2 linked regions of the Notamacropus eugenii genome follow. The protein of the gene in region 1 purifies or fractionates together with the protein of each later gene. This does not show direct contact. Links are inferred from orthologs where the notes say so. Each region holds a gene or a part of one and is shown on either strand. Other genes may lie near its edges.

The links.
Region 2: the proteins of NOP2 (region 1) and FTSJ3 fractionate together in Homo sapiens (co-fractionation; 3 studies listed by BioGRID and IntAct, with this or other methods). This does not show direct contact. The link is inferred for Notamacropus eugenii from reciprocal best matches to the Homo sapiens genes NOP2 and FTSJ3.

The regions. Positions count from the first base shown.
Region 1 is NC_092874.1:194,961,261-194,968,705, forward strand, and holds the start of NOP2 (28S rRNA (cytosine(4447)-C(5))-methyltransferase), read right to left. Parts: upstream 3,175-7,445; 5' UTR 3,139-3,174; exon of another isoform or gene 3,112-3,138; intron 1-3,111. UniProt on the Homo sapiens protein: S-adenosyl-L-methionine-dependent methyltransferase that specifically methylates the C(5) position of cytosine 4447 in 28S rRNA. Required for efficient rRNA processing and 60S ribosomal subunit biogenesis.
Region 2 is NC_092873.1:343,826,539-343,833,836, reverse strand, and holds the start of FTSJ3 (pre-rRNA 2'-O-ribose RNA methyltransferase FTSJ3), read right to left. Parts: upstream 3,088-7,298; 5' UTR 3,021-3,087; coding exon 2,954-3,020; intron 2,850-2,953; coding exon 2,744-2,849; intron 2,476-2,743; coding exon 2,429-2,475; intron 2,327-2,428; coding exon 2,247-2,326; intron 1,596-2,246; coding exon 1,496-1,595; intron 1,420-1,495; coding exon 1,225-1,419; intron 1,119-1,224; coding exon 1,003-1,118; intron 895-1,002; coding exon 790-894; intron 694-789; coding exon 593-693; intron 315-592; coding exon 234-314; intron 133-233; coding exon 1-132. Other genes in the region: PSMC5 (26S proteasome regulatory subunit 8), read left to right, coding at 3,636-3,659, 4,051-4,125, 4,934-5,003, 5,570-5,667, 5,873-5,929, 6,020-6,250, 6,434-6,560, 6,681-6,871 and 2 more.

The sequences.
Region 1 (7,445 bases):
AAAAATGTTTGCTATATATATATATATATATATATATACATATATGCGCGCACACACACACACACACACACACACACACACACACACACAAACACACTCCTAAAACAGTGTTAAAGCTCAGACCTACCACCTGCAACATCCTGCTGTACAATTTCCAGGGTGGTAGGGAAAATGCATAGAAATAAAATTATTGATAGCTACTAGGAATCAGAAGTTAGGTCTGAAGAAGCTAAAAGGGATTCACTGTACTTACTATACATTTTTCCTCTAATATACAAAAGAAGACTGGACTTGAAGCCAAGAGACCAGGGTTCAAATGCCATTTATACTCTTTGCTGAAGGACCATGGGTAAATCATTATCTCCAGTTTCCCCATCTGCAAAATGAGGAAACTAACACTTGTACTACCTACCTCAAAGAGTTGTTATGAGGGAATACTTTGTAAATCCTAAAAAAGCAATCAAGGCACGCTCTAATTTCTTTTGAAATGGAGATAGGGATATACCTTATTGACAAGAACACTACACTATAATAGAAGACAGAGGGACCTAAAGAGAGGGATGCCTGAAGATGAACAAAAGCAACAAAAACAATTCAATCCAATTCAGGGAGTTTTGAACCCTGAGAATGGCTCTCTAGTGGTATCACTGGTACTCTCATTTACTAGGTGGAGACATAACGAGTCTTTTGGAGAGTAAATGCAGCTTGTCTTATTTTTTTAAATCCTGTCTTGGCCACCAAGGTAAATGGATTTTAAAATGATGGAGCCTTATTCTATAATGGAAAAAAGGAACTTCTACATATTCATCTGCCTGGTTTTCTTCTCTAACTCTTAAGAAAGAATGAGCCTGTAAAAGGTCTGGGGACAAGATAAGAAATGGTGACTGGTAGACTGCCAGTGGTGGTCAGCTTTCAGGCAAACCACCATCTTCTCCCTGCAAAGGCATCTAAGGATCACAAATAATATTTTTTTTAGGGGGGAGGAAAGGATGACAAATGTGCTAATCCTCTAACGTTTTTTTTTTTGGTTTTACCAACAAAATCACTAAATAAAAAGAAAAGGAATAAATAAAAAGAGGAGGAATGAAAGCTGAAGACAGATTCACCAGAAAAGACCACTCTTTAAAACACCCAAAAGTCATAGCAAGAGATGCAATATTATTTCTCCTATTACTTATTATATTCCACCTCACCACCTCTTACACATCACCATCCTTCTCAAAGCCGTCATATCAAAGATACATACTAATATGCAATACTGAGGAAAAGATACACAGCCCCTAAACTACCCACAAATAGTTGGCTCCAAACCAAAGAAAGTTGGCTCTTCTGCTGTACTATTGTCGTCAATAATAACTTAAGGGTCTTATACTAGTCCAGGGAGACACAGGGAAGCTTATAACGTCAAAGCGAGATGACAGTACAAAACTATACCAATCAATCAACTAATATGTATTGAGCATCTTACTATGCTAAATGAATTTTAAGGACTTTTAAGAAGCTTGGAATCAGAAAATCTGGAATCTATTGACAAATTCTTCATTGCAAGGCCTTGGAGAAGGCTCTCTTTAGGCATCAACTACATCATCATTAAGAAGGAAGAGAATTATACATTTTAACATTACTACAGCCTTGAATTTAAACAGCATTTTTCTTTTAAAAGGCTCAAAGAGCTACATACACACACATATTACTTCACTAATCCTCAAAAGATCCAGAAGCAAAGGATCTGGGGAAATTTACACTACACTTCAGAAGTGGGGGAAATCGAAGCAGAGAGATAAGTAATTTGTCTGAGGTCACACACAAACAAGAACTCAGAATTCTAACCTACCATACTGCTACTAAGGGATAAATAAAATGATGATGCTAGTGCCACCAGAGTATCACCCTATCACAAAAGTCTAAGTAGAGAGACCCTCTCCCTTGATTTCCCCACTAGAAATAACAGTCACACATTATTAGAGTCTCAATTTCTTTTCCCAAAGAAGACACAATCCTTTTATATAGTTTTTAGAAAGAAACCCTTATTCATCAATCCACTCAACAACCACTTATTAAGCATCTGGTATGGACAAAGTCCACTGCTAAGTATTGGGGAATATTTTCCTTAACCCAGCCCACTTGATAGAAGAGAATGAGAAAATAATTTTGAGTTCTAGATTTATACCTTCTTATTTCAACATATGGCTTTAACATGCTTGGAAAACTCCTGTGAAGAAAAGATGCTAAGACATATGTCAGCAAGGATAAAAGTTTTTTGGTTTTGTTCTCCCCACCCCAGCAGAAGAGCAATAGAGGGAACTAATGGGAATGTAAGAACCAAGTGAGTTTGGGGGGCTATAAAAAGACTAATGGCTAGAGACCACATAAACTGAGAAGTCATACAGAGAGAAATAAGGCTTGAGCTTCTGCCTATACACTTCAGTTCAGTGCCATCAAGCACACAAGGAACTACAAAGAACAGTCAAATAAGCAAATGGAATTGAAGGAATTTTTCATGTATGTCTCAAAAACTGTCCCTACTCTGTTGAACAGGAACCACTGTTCATGTCCAAACAAAACAAAAGGACTATTCCCAACAAACAGCCTGCCATCTAGAATAGCAGTTCCTGGTCCAGCATCCTCAGGATTCTAAATTAGTAGAGGTATCTTTCAAAATAGTTTCTCCTTGTGCTGGCATTCTCACTAAGAATAATGGTAAGGCACATATGGAAAAGGGAAATTGGGTCCTGGAAAGTCTGGGGTCTCTAGAAAACAGGTCAGTAATGGCCGTGGGGAGAAAACTTATCTCTGACAGAGACAAAGCCCAAACTTAAGTCATTGTTAACTCAGGGTCCTAAGGAAAGTAAGCCTTACTGAGCCCCAACTCTGAACTCTCAGCATCTGATGTTGCCTGGGTCCCCAAATTACAATTCTCTAGTGACACACACGGGTTACTAGAATCTCTCAATCAGAAGATTTACCCTAAACCTCTACACTCCTAAGAGCAAAGAAAAAAGCTCACTCCATACTGCCCTAAACTTAGTTCACAGTAGTTACCTTACAGTAATGGATGCTATGTATTCAAATTTCTTTCTGTTTGTAAAAACACGTCTTGTTTAGCTTTACCACAAAATAGTCACTAGCTTACTCTACCAAGGTATCTCAGAACACTGCTTCTTTCTACCTGTCGGTCTTACAATCTAACAATTATAAAAAAGAATCGTACAATTCTTTCACTATGAAAGAATCTTTTTTTGGCTAGCTCTATATTAAATTCCAAACCTAACTCTCAAGCAAATTCAATTCTCAATTTCTTTCAAACTGAGCCCCAACTCTGAACTCTCAGAATCTGATGTTGTCTGCGTCCCCAAATTAAAACTCTCTAGTGACACACACTAACTACTAGAATCTCTCAATCAGAAGATTTACCCTAAACCTCCGCACTCCTAAGAGCAAAGGAAAGAAGCTCACTTTAAGCTGTGCTCACTCCAATAGCAGGAAATCACTGCTGAGCAATGCCACATGGGAACACAAATAGCATCTCTTTAAATGGCACTGTGACTATCAGAGGTGGTTTAACTTGGGGCTCCCAACCCTAACTAGTCTCTTGATGAACAGCCTAAAAGAGCCACCCAGACCAACATAGTGAGAATCTCCAAAAGCTAGTCTGAATACCATTTTCAAAACTGGAGGAAGTTCTAAACTGATCTACTACAGGCGGACACTTCGTATAAAGTGTCGTGCAACAACAAAAGGCATTATTAACTTGTTACCTAAAGAAAAACATTCAATATGGGTAAAATGACCTTCTCTTCCCCTCTTTATGTTAAAGGTTTCTTACCCTCTCTCTCCTCCTCCTTCTGTCCTATTCCTCCTCCTCCTCCTCAAGGCTCCCGAACTTTCTGAAAACAAAGTGTCTGTGTTAGAATGGTCAAAAAGGATGTAATTAATGAGATGTCGGGACCTCTGAGGATTTCCAATCTGTCAGCTGTCAGTCTGGAGGGAAAGCAAAATTCCTGCCTCTAACCCAAGAGAGGGAAGGTTACAAGCACAGGAATTTGGTCACTAGGAAAAGGATTTAATCCCTACTAAAGAAGTTGAACTATCTTCACCATTTCAGCATGAGGTGAAAGGCACCCCCACACACGCACCCCACAAGAGCAAAGCTTGGACACTCAATTCCTTCTCACAGGCACCCAAGGGGCAGAAGCCAGGAAAAAAGGAGGTTGGGAAGGAGGGGGAAAGGGGACAGTCTGGTCACCTCCCACCTGTGAGGACAGAAGACAAATCTGGGGACAACTAGGATGGGGGCTCCCCAAGTTCTCGTGCCAGGAGGCAGAATGCCTAGTGCAGGCCTAGCCACTCCCACGGGCCATTCCCCCCCACCCCAAGCCCCTGGGAGGACTTTGCCCCTCATCTGTCAAGGGCCCCATTCCAGGAAGCCCCTCCGGCTCCAACCTCAGCCCCTCCCCCCCACAGGGCCCCCTCTGCTCTGCTACACCCCTTCTTCCCCCTAGGCAGCAGCTAAGAGTCTCCCCCCACTTGCTCACGCCCCCTTCCTCTGAGCCCTTCTGGGACATCGGATCCCTCCCCTCCAAGAGCCCAGCTCCAACACCCACCAGAAACCCACCCCCTACACCCCCACTCCCACCATTCCCCCCGCCCCCCACCCCTGCGCCCGCTACTCCACAACCACTTCCGGTTCCGGGAGGGGGGGAGAGGCACACACAGAGCCCCCCCACCCCCTTCGGGACAGGGAGGAGGGCACACGGAGCGCGCCGGCAGCGGCGGCGGCGGCGCCGCGAGACTCACCCGGCTCCAGCGGCTGCAGCAGCAGCAGCGGCGGCGCGAGAGTCAGAGAGCGGCTCGGGAGGGGGCGGCGCGTGCCTTTTGCCGGGAGGAGGCAGAGGGGTGGGGGGGAGGGAAATGGGATGAGGGGAAGTGGAGCTCGAGAGAGCGCGCGCACTCGGGGCGCTGGGCGGACTGACGGACCCTCCTGCCCCCCACCCCGGAGGCGTGTGTACTCACGGACGGACGGACACACACACCACACACACACACACACACACACACACACACACATACACACGCCCCGCTCCACACACCCGCAGGGCGGGGGCGCGAGGCACTGGGCGCCCCCCCTCCTCTCCACTCACCCGGAAGTGCTGCTGGCGCTCCTGCACTGAAGAACCCAGATTCCTCCCCTCCCCACCCCCCTCCCTCCCCCCTCCCCCCACAGGCCTGGAGAGGAGCCGCTGCGGCGAGAAGGCGGGAACACCGGAAACGAAGGAGGGGTGGGGAAAGGAGGGAACTGGGGTGGGAGGAGAAGGAGGGGAGGGTGCAAAGGCCCAGTCACTTCCGGGAGCGACTAGAGCGATTCTGGTAGTACGGGCACCTGGGGAGACGGACACCCCCGAGGCGGAAGTCGGGATGAATGAGGGCGGAAGTGGCTTCGTCGAAGGGCAACATTTCAATGGTCAGAGGTGAACGTGACGTGAACCGGAACTAGCGGGGGTAAGTAAGGGCAGAAATGAACTCACTATCCCTAGGGGGCATTTGGCGCGTGGGGGCGGGACTTCTGGTTGAGGGAAGGAGGATCTTCGTCTCATGAATTATGAAGCAGTCCTCCTAAGGTAAGTGGAGGGGGTTGGTGCGTTAAAGGGCGAGGACCTCATTTCAGTTCGGCCCACGTTCAAGGCTGTATATACTTGGTCGTGGTCTAAAGACAAAAGAGACTAGCCCTGCGCCTAAGGAGCTCCCGTTCTCTTGGGAGGGTGTAATATGGCCTGCGACCCGTGGAGCTGCGTATTTGCGCCAGGCTGACTTAACAGCTTCGGATGTTGACCCCCCCCCCCCACTTCTCGTGGGTTGGGTGCTGGATTTGGTGCCCCATACCCGTATTCATGACTCTCGTTGTGCTTTTGATTCTATGTTGTGGTGGTTTTCAGTGAGAACGTGCAAAAGTTGTAGTTCTTAAAAAGCACGCTTCAGTGACTCTTAGAAGTACTCAGCCACTATTTGTGTGGGGAAATCATGTTTCAATGGTCATTCAAGTCCCAGTGAAACAGGGTGGTGTGTGTTCGTCCAGGCCATCAGAGACATGGTGACAGGACTTGCATTGGACTTTGTTTAAAGGGAGGGAGGGCTGTGCAGGTCACCAGCCTCACTTCTCCTCCAGAGCCATCTGAATCCAGTGACCAGATATTCATCAGGATGACTGGAGATGACCCAGGATGAGGCAGTTGGGGTTAAGTGACTTGCCCAAGGTCACACAGCTAGTGAGTGTCAAGTGTCTGAGGTGAAATTTGAACTACTCCTGCACTGGTGCTCTATCCACTGCACCACCTAGCTGTCCCAATGAAACAGGATCAGTTGCACTGGTTTAAAAAAAAAAAAAGAGGAAAACAACACAGAGAACTGACAAAATATTACTACAAAATAGCCTGATTAATTCCCAGAAGATAAGCACAGACCTTCAGAGAACCCCGGGTTTGGGAGCTTTTACTGATTCCTTTACAACGTGGCATAAGCTTTTGAAAGTTGGAAGAAAAGCAAAAAAAAAAAAAGTTGCTAATTATTGTTATGAATTAAAAACTGCTTATGGTGGGCAAGATAATACAAAGACAGATGAAGATTAGGAAAAGGTAATGTTTTTTTCTTATGAAACTCATCTTTTTCATTCAAAGTTTTATACCAGAAGTCCAGATAAACCTGTAAAACACGTGCATCTTCATCAAACTGTTAAACCATCCATTCCTCCAAAAAAATATTTTGGAAATCTTTTTACTTCATCAGGAGTGAAATTCTTATCCCCAATGTAGGAATGATGAATGCTGGCAACTATATTATACTGAGAAGCTGAATTGTTCCAGAAGTATTAGGAAAACTTACCTTGTATATATGTCACAAAAGGATAAGGATTTATCTAAGACAGAGATAAACATGTTTCAGTGACCTGGAACTGACTTATTGAAAACTTATTAGTTTGACTATGGTTTGTGACAGGTTTTATTTTTCTTGCTTTTTCAATCAATGCAAGAATTGGGGGGCAGGGTGTAGGAGGGAGAGAATTCAGAGATGAAGATAAAATTTTAAAAAACCCTATAAGCAGTAATCAAGATTAGATTTGGGGAAATGAGCTATTTGTTAAAGTTATGCTTAAAATCCAGTGTGATAAAAGTGTGACTTCCTGTTAAATTAGAGAATGTGTCAATATCTTGTGAACTCAGTCCAAAAACATCTAAAACAAATAATTGCAGCCAAAGAGGGTATATTTTATATTAAAAACATTAAAGATATAAAATTTTGTAAGAATTATTGCATCACTCAATAAATTTAAATTATTTAAATCACTGTAACTACAAACATAATGAGGATACATTATAAGAGGAGAACCCACAGCTGTTCTCCTAATTCTGAACTTTGATCTGCTGGAAAGTTCAGAGTGGTTTGGGAACTGA
Region 2 (7,298 bases), on another chromosome or scaffold:
AGCTCTGCTACCTCCTGGGCTTTCATTTCTGCAAGAGCCCTATCCAAATCTTCCTCATCATCCTCAGCAGCAGCTGCTGTCTTTTTTCCTCCTTCTTCTTCCTCCTCCTCCTCCTCCTCTCCAGAACTAAGACTGGAATGGAGGTAAAACAGATAAATGAAGGCACAGTCAATGTCATTAGCCCTCTTCCAATGTTCCTCAAATTTTATGCTCTGCCTTGATCCTCAGCTTACCTGATGTCCAGTGCCTTTGCTTGATCTTTTAGCTTCTTGGCCACAAACCGACGAAGCTTTGTCCTCCAATTCAGCAGGGACCTGTTCCAAAAGCCCTGTTACTGACCACCCTACTCTATCATCATTAAATGTTTCATTGAGGGCATCAGAGCTACATTCAGATACCAAGATCACAAAATAAGTGAAAATCAATGCTTTGTCCCAAACCCGAATTTCTGGGACAAAGGTTTCCTGTTACAAGAAAGGTACCAGTTACCACTTGCTCCTCAAGTCTCCTTGGGCCTTACTCTGTCTCATACACACTCAGGCTTGCCCAAGGTCCCTCTCAGTCTCATGATTTGAGATGTTCGCCCCAGTACCTGAGCTCCTTTCGACCCAGTACTTTGATGTCCTGGCAGCACACCTTGACGTCCTCACTAGTAGCTGGATGCTGTTCCAATTCCTTATCATCTAGTATGATCTGCTCAGCAAGGAAGGAGAATCATTAGAAAGGACTAAACTTCCTAGTTGGGTCAGGGAGACTCTTCCACAAGTCTCTTTAATTCTGGACACTCACCTCACTAGCTTTGGAGAGGAAGTCAACAGGGTTGGCTGCTTGGAGAAAGTCAGTAAGGGAGACCCGATGATAGAGGGTGAGGTCCCCTTCAGCATAGCCTTCAGCCTAGGGACCAGGAAAGAAACACAGAACAGACAGGGGAGTCCCCTTTGAGGTGTTTTCAATGATTCTCAGAGATTTCAGGGTATGTGCACTTCTCTTTCACATACATACCTTGGGCTTTTTCTTGGTTACCAATTCACTCACAGTCTTGGCCTGAACTTCAACCTCTTTAAAGGCAAATTTGGGGTCAAAGAATTTACTGTCAATCTTATCAGGAGCCAGGAAACCTGGAAGAGAAGCGTATAGAGAAAAGGGAAAAGATAAGAACAGGCTTTAAAGGGGAAAAAAAAGAGGCCTTAGGAGTAGAATATACAGGGATAAAAGACAACTCACCCTGACAGACCACAAAGATTTCTGCCGATTCCTGACGGGAGGCCTGGGGCTTAGTGGCCTGGACGTGGCGAAACAACTGCTGGAAAATCCAGAGAAGGGGCTGGTAGTCACGAGAGCGAAAAACCTTAGTAATAAAGCAGCCACCACGTGCAAGAAAATCACAAGCCAGACGGAGTGCCATCAAGGTCAGGTGGGCTGAGGGGAATCAAGACTCGTCAGCTAGAGTGTTCACTATCTGTGAATAGTCCCAGCCCCAAATCTCCTTAGGTACCTTGTGAGTAGGCATCATGGACCCAGCTAGCCCCTACATTAGGGGCCCCATCATTGAGCACAACATCAACCTTCCAAGTCTTCAGCTCCTTCTTGAGAGCCTGGAAAAGGCAAACAGAAAGTCACACCTCCTTACCAAACTCTAGATCTTCCCTATGGTGTAGCCCCTTTCAAGGGCTGGATACATGTTTTCACTTAAACCAAGAAACACATGATGGACATGAAAATGGAGAATGACAAAAGTCAAGGACAACACAACTAGCCTTGTATAAACAGCACAACCACACTGGACGTTACACCATGGGTAAAACAGGGTCCCAAGTCTTCTCCCGCTTACGTACTTGCATTTCTCTCAAGTGAAAAAATCCATGATGACAAATCCCATCCTTAACACTGAACACACACACCTGGCTCCAACCCCCACTCACTCACCACCTGTGCCCACCCCAATCCCTAGTTCCCCCTGCCCCTACCAGAAGCCATTTCATGCCCCTCACAAATGCGTCCCCCACTGTGGTCTGGCCTGAGGGCTCCAGCCATTCGTCACTTGGCCCTCTCTGTTACCCTCACTCAGAACCCAAACTCCGGAATGAGTCTCCTTTATGCCACCACCAGGATCATCTTCTGTACGTATCTATATCCCTGGTGCCTGGCACAGTGCAAGTGCTTAGCAGATGCTTCTTCCTTCACGCGGCCAAAGCTCTCACTCCCATGGCAAGGACTCCCCAAAGGAGCGAGGGGCAAAGGCTGACCTGGCGGCATCTTTCGGTTGTGATGTCCTCTTGCAGCGTAACCACGTTGGGAATGGGCTTGATGGGAACCAGGTCCACTCCTAGAAAAAACACGCAGGGTGAGATCCCAGCTACGACGGGGGATGCGGGTGGGACCCCAAACTCCCCAGCCCACGCAGCGGGGGGCCACACGGTACACTCACCCACAATGAGGCTGGACACTGGCATGAACTTGGAAGCCACCTGCAGCCTGGGGAGTTAAAGAGAGCGAGGAGATGACGCTGGGAAGTTCCTCCAGCACGAAGGAGCCCGCTTCTGTCCCCTGGGTGCGTGTCTGTGGGGGCGGGGGGGGATGGTGAAGGGGGAGGAGGGGCGTTGTAACCTGTCAGTCCCGCGGCGGGGGCTGGGCGCGGGGAGGGGCAGATAAAAAGAACCAGCGCCCTAGGAAATGCCCGGCGTGAGCGCGGCGGGTGGGGGTGGACGGAAGGAAGGCCGAGGAAGGGGCCGCGGGCACGCACCATCCCCCGGGCGCCGCGCACAGGTCCAGCAGGGCCCGGGCTTTCTGCAAGAACTGGAAGCGGCGGTTCAGCTGGATCAGCTTGAACGCGGAGCGGGAACGGAAGCCTGCGGGAGGAGAGGGGCCGAGTGAGCGGGGCCGGGGGCCCGGACGACGGAGGCCCGGACGACGGAGGCCCGGACGGAGGGCCCGCGGGGTCCTCGCGACTCACCGGTCTCCTTGGCCAGGTGGTAGAACTTGTCCCGCCGGCTCTTCCCGACTTTGCCCTTCTTTCCCATGGCGCCGCGGGGAGGTGTGCCCTCACTCTGGCCGGGGAGAAGTCTCCGCCGCACGCGCGGAGGCCCACCAGAACCTCCGGCCCAACTTTCGGGGGCACGTGTAGGCTGGGGATGCGCTCCCTCCCTCTTCCGTCGCCTTCGCTCTTACGGAGATGACTCCGCCCCTTCAGCCATCTTGAGTCTGTAGAGAAAGATTTTTGAGGTGGTTTTGATAGGACGGTTTGGACTTTCCCATAGGGCGGGACGTTCACGGTGATCTAATCCAAGCCCTTTACTGCCGTGGAAGTCAGAGGCAGGAAGTGACGTCCCCAAGAGCTCCGCCCTGGATTCCCATACAAGTAAACCTAAGACCCAGCGAGCGGGTGAGGGAGCAGTAGGAGCCAATTGTCGAGGGAGTGTCTGGGAGGGGCATTTTCGGGTCATTTCCTCTCTTCGCTCTCCGAAATGGCCAGACGTGGAGTTCCGACCTTCCCAACATGGCCTCTACCAGCGATCATTCTTGAGAGTCGCGTCGCTTGACCCGGAAGTTTAATCGCGGACCGCGGCGGCTCCCGCCCTTTTGCGCTTGCGCCCAGAACTCACTTGGATGCCGGCATCCGGATCTGAGGAAGGAAGATGGCGCTGGACGGACCGGAGCAGGTAGGAAGGTTGCGGCGGGGCCCGGGCAGGGAAATTGCGGGGACAGATGGGGTTTGGAAGTCATATCTGGGCGGGGGACAAACCGAACCCAGGTTTGGATCCGATGGAGGCGGGGGCCGAGCTTCAGCTAGGGCCGGTGCTACCCCACAGGCCGACGTGCTTTGTCAGCGCCGCCCCGGCCGGGTCAGGGGCCGGGGATGCGGCCCCGAGCCCAGATCGCACGGGGCGGGGCCGCCCTCGTGCCCCGCGCGTGATTGGTGTTCGTGCGGGTGCGTGTCGCTTTCACGCCCGCGTTGATGGCAGGCTCCTGGCGGGCAGGGAGCTGTGCCAGCCTCACGGGTCTCTGTGCCGTAGGCACCCCCCAGAATGTTATCTGATAACGTTTCTTCAGCAGATGGAGTTGGAGGAGGGCAAGGCCGGGAGTGGGCTGCGGCAGTATTACCTGTCCAAGATCGAGGAACTTCAGGTGAGACGCGGGGCAAGGGACGAGGAGGGCTTGAAGGTTCCGGGAGGAATCTCTGTCAGCGTCACTCCGGGAGGCCATGGGATGGAGGGGGGAGGGAGAGCCCGGGTGTTATGGGAGTGGGGGTCAGATTGGGAGGAGGGGAAAGAAATCAGTCTCCAAGGACCCCCCCTTAGGGAGGGAGGGAAGGCATGGAAAGTTGGGCTGGCCACATAGGGAGGGGGTTGGGTTGAAAAAAAATAAGTGAGATGAAGAAGCTTGGGAACCTTCCGCGTGACAAATGCTGGGAAGACACCTGTTGCTTGGGCCTGAGCTCAAGGAAGACAGAAAACCCAGAATTCTAATTTTAGAGGTCTAAGAGTAGAAACTGGGTGGAATGAAGACGTAGTGAAGGATATTTTCACAAGCTTCGGTGGGGGCTTTAAAGTTTTTGTAGGAAAAATAAAGTATGTAGCTGTAAGAGGTAGGGTTAGCAGCTGTCTGGTCTGTGTTACAAACTCCATTGTTGTAGTGAATAACTGACCTGGGCTTTAATAAAAAAAATAAAGGTCCCCCAGAATTTTGAAGCTCTCTTTGTGAGGGCATGTAATATCTAGGCTAGAATTAGCTTCTTCTTTGGACCTTTTTGAATCATGGCAGGACTTTTTGAGGCATAGAACAGGGTGGATGTGATCTGTTTGCTAGAATCTGAAACCAGGTATAGCAGACCTTGTCCCTTTTCATAATCACATTTAGGAAATTTGGCCAGGAAATTTTTTTTTTTTTAGCTACTTGCCTATACATTATACTTGTTATCTTCTGCCCACTTCAGCTGATCGTGAATGACAAGAGCCAAAATCTACGTCGTTTGCAAGCACAAAGAAATGAGCTAAATGCAAAAGGTGGGAGCCCAGCATAATGACTGGGATTCATAGATTCTGGCTTCTGTTTTGACTTTCTGGGTGGTACCCTCCCTTGCTACATTTCAAATAGTAATACAAACTAGCATGTGATTGAGCGGTTGTGTGGTGCAGTTGATAGAGTGCCAAGCTTGGAGTCAGAAAAACTCATTTTCCTGAGTTCACATCTGGTCTCAGACACTTAGTACTGTATGACCCTGAGCAAATCACTTAACCTTGTTTGCCTCAATTTCCTTCACTGTAAGATGAGCTGGAGAAGGAAATGGCAAATAGCTCCAGTGTCTTTGCCAAGAAAACCCTAAGTGGGGTTACCACTAGTTGGCCACAACCAAAACAATTGAACAGAAGCATTATGATTGGATTAGCATTATTTACATTTCTAAATATATTGAAAACATTTAAAGATCAAAATATTTTATGCTTCACAACAGTGCTTGAATTATTTGAATTACTGGGCTGGAATGGTAATCAGGTAGTTTGTTGAGCTATTTAGCAAAACGTTGCAAAATTAAAAGAAACAAAACTGCTCATATTTGCTTCTCATACAGTGCGCCTGCTACGGGAGGAGCTGCAGCTGTTGCAGGAGCAGGGGTCCTATGTGGGGGAAGTGGTCCGAGCTATGGATAAAAAGAAAGTTTTGGTCAAGGTACAGAGTTTGACCCCAGGGACTGAAACAGGTTTATTTGCTATATTTGTTACCCCTTAAATGGACCCTTGGGAGGGGACAGTGTTGCATCTTATTGGTTGATACATATTCTTTTAATGTTCCTTGACTTTTCCTTGGTTGTATGACTTGGTACCTGGGATGGAGACTGATGCCACTTGGAAAGCTAATAAACTCCTCCCTCTAGGTACATCCTGAAGGGAAGTTTGTGGTTGATGTAGATAAGAACATCGACATCAATGATGTAAGTGTAGCAAGGAATAAAGGGGGTAAGGGGCTGGAACCTGTGTGCTGTATTGTAGTGATGTTTTCTAAAATCATCCACCATAACCAGGTGACACCCAATTGCCGTGTGGCTCTTCGAAATGACAGCTACACCCTGCACAAAATTCTGCCCAACAAAGTAGATCCATTGGTATCTTTGATGATGGTGGAAAAAGTGCCTGATTCAACCTATGAGATGATTGGTGGCCTAGACAAGCAGATCAAGGAGATCAAAGAAGTGATTGAACTGCCTGTTAAGCATCCTGAGCTCTTTGAAGCACTAGGCATTGCACAGCCCAAGGTGAGGGGTAGGATTTACTGTGGGAGCCAAATGGGAGGTTCTCATCCATGCCCTGCACCAGATACCAATGTTAAGTCACAAAGAGGTCAGAGGCAGTTGTGCCTGAAAGACATTAATTGGGATATGAGAGAATAGAGGTGGAATTTACTATGAGAGGACTGAGTTTCGCATACCCTACCCTAGGGTGTGTTGCTGTATGGACCTCCAGGAACTGGCAAAACTCTCTTGGCTCGGGCTGTGGCTCATCACACTGATTGCACCTTTATTCGTGTCTCTGGCTCAGAACTGGTACAGAAATTCATTGGTGAAGGTGAGCATGGTAGGGGAAGATAAAGTCATGAGGTAACCATGGGTTAGATGAGGTGCGGGGCCAACCAGAATCCTTCCCCCAGTTTCGTACTCAGCTTTTGACACGTCCTATGTTTTTCAGGGGCAAGAATGGTACGGGAATTGTTTGTTATGGCCCGAGAACATGCCCCCTCCATCATCTTCATGGATGAGATTGACTCCATTGGTTCTTCACGCCTAGAAGGTGGTTCTGGGGGAGACAGTGAAGTACAGCGAACAATGCTAGAACTGCTCAACCAGCTGGATGGCTTTGAAGCCACTAAAAACATCAAGGTGGGAAGGACTCTGGTTGGAGCAGGTAGAGAAGAAGAAAAGGGTAGAACCTAGCCTGCAAAAGAGAATAAAGACAGCTGACAAGCCCTCTTTTTTCTCACAGGTTATCATGGCCACCAACAGAATTGACATCCTGGACTCTGCTCTACTTCGCCCTGGTAGAATTGACAGGAAGATTGAGTTTCCGCCCCCTAATGAGGAGGTTGGTGGTAGAGAGCACTCAGGGGAAAGTGTAGCTGCCTAAGAGGAGGGGAGTGTGGTGCTCAAGGCTTCCCTCTCCTCTCTACCACTACAGGCACGATTGGATATCTTGAAGATTCATTCTCGGAAAATGAACCTAACTCGAGGCATCAACCTACGGAAAATTGCAGAGCTCATGCCTGGGGCATCAGGGGCTGAAGTGAAGGTAACCTAGAGGGCATAGGAA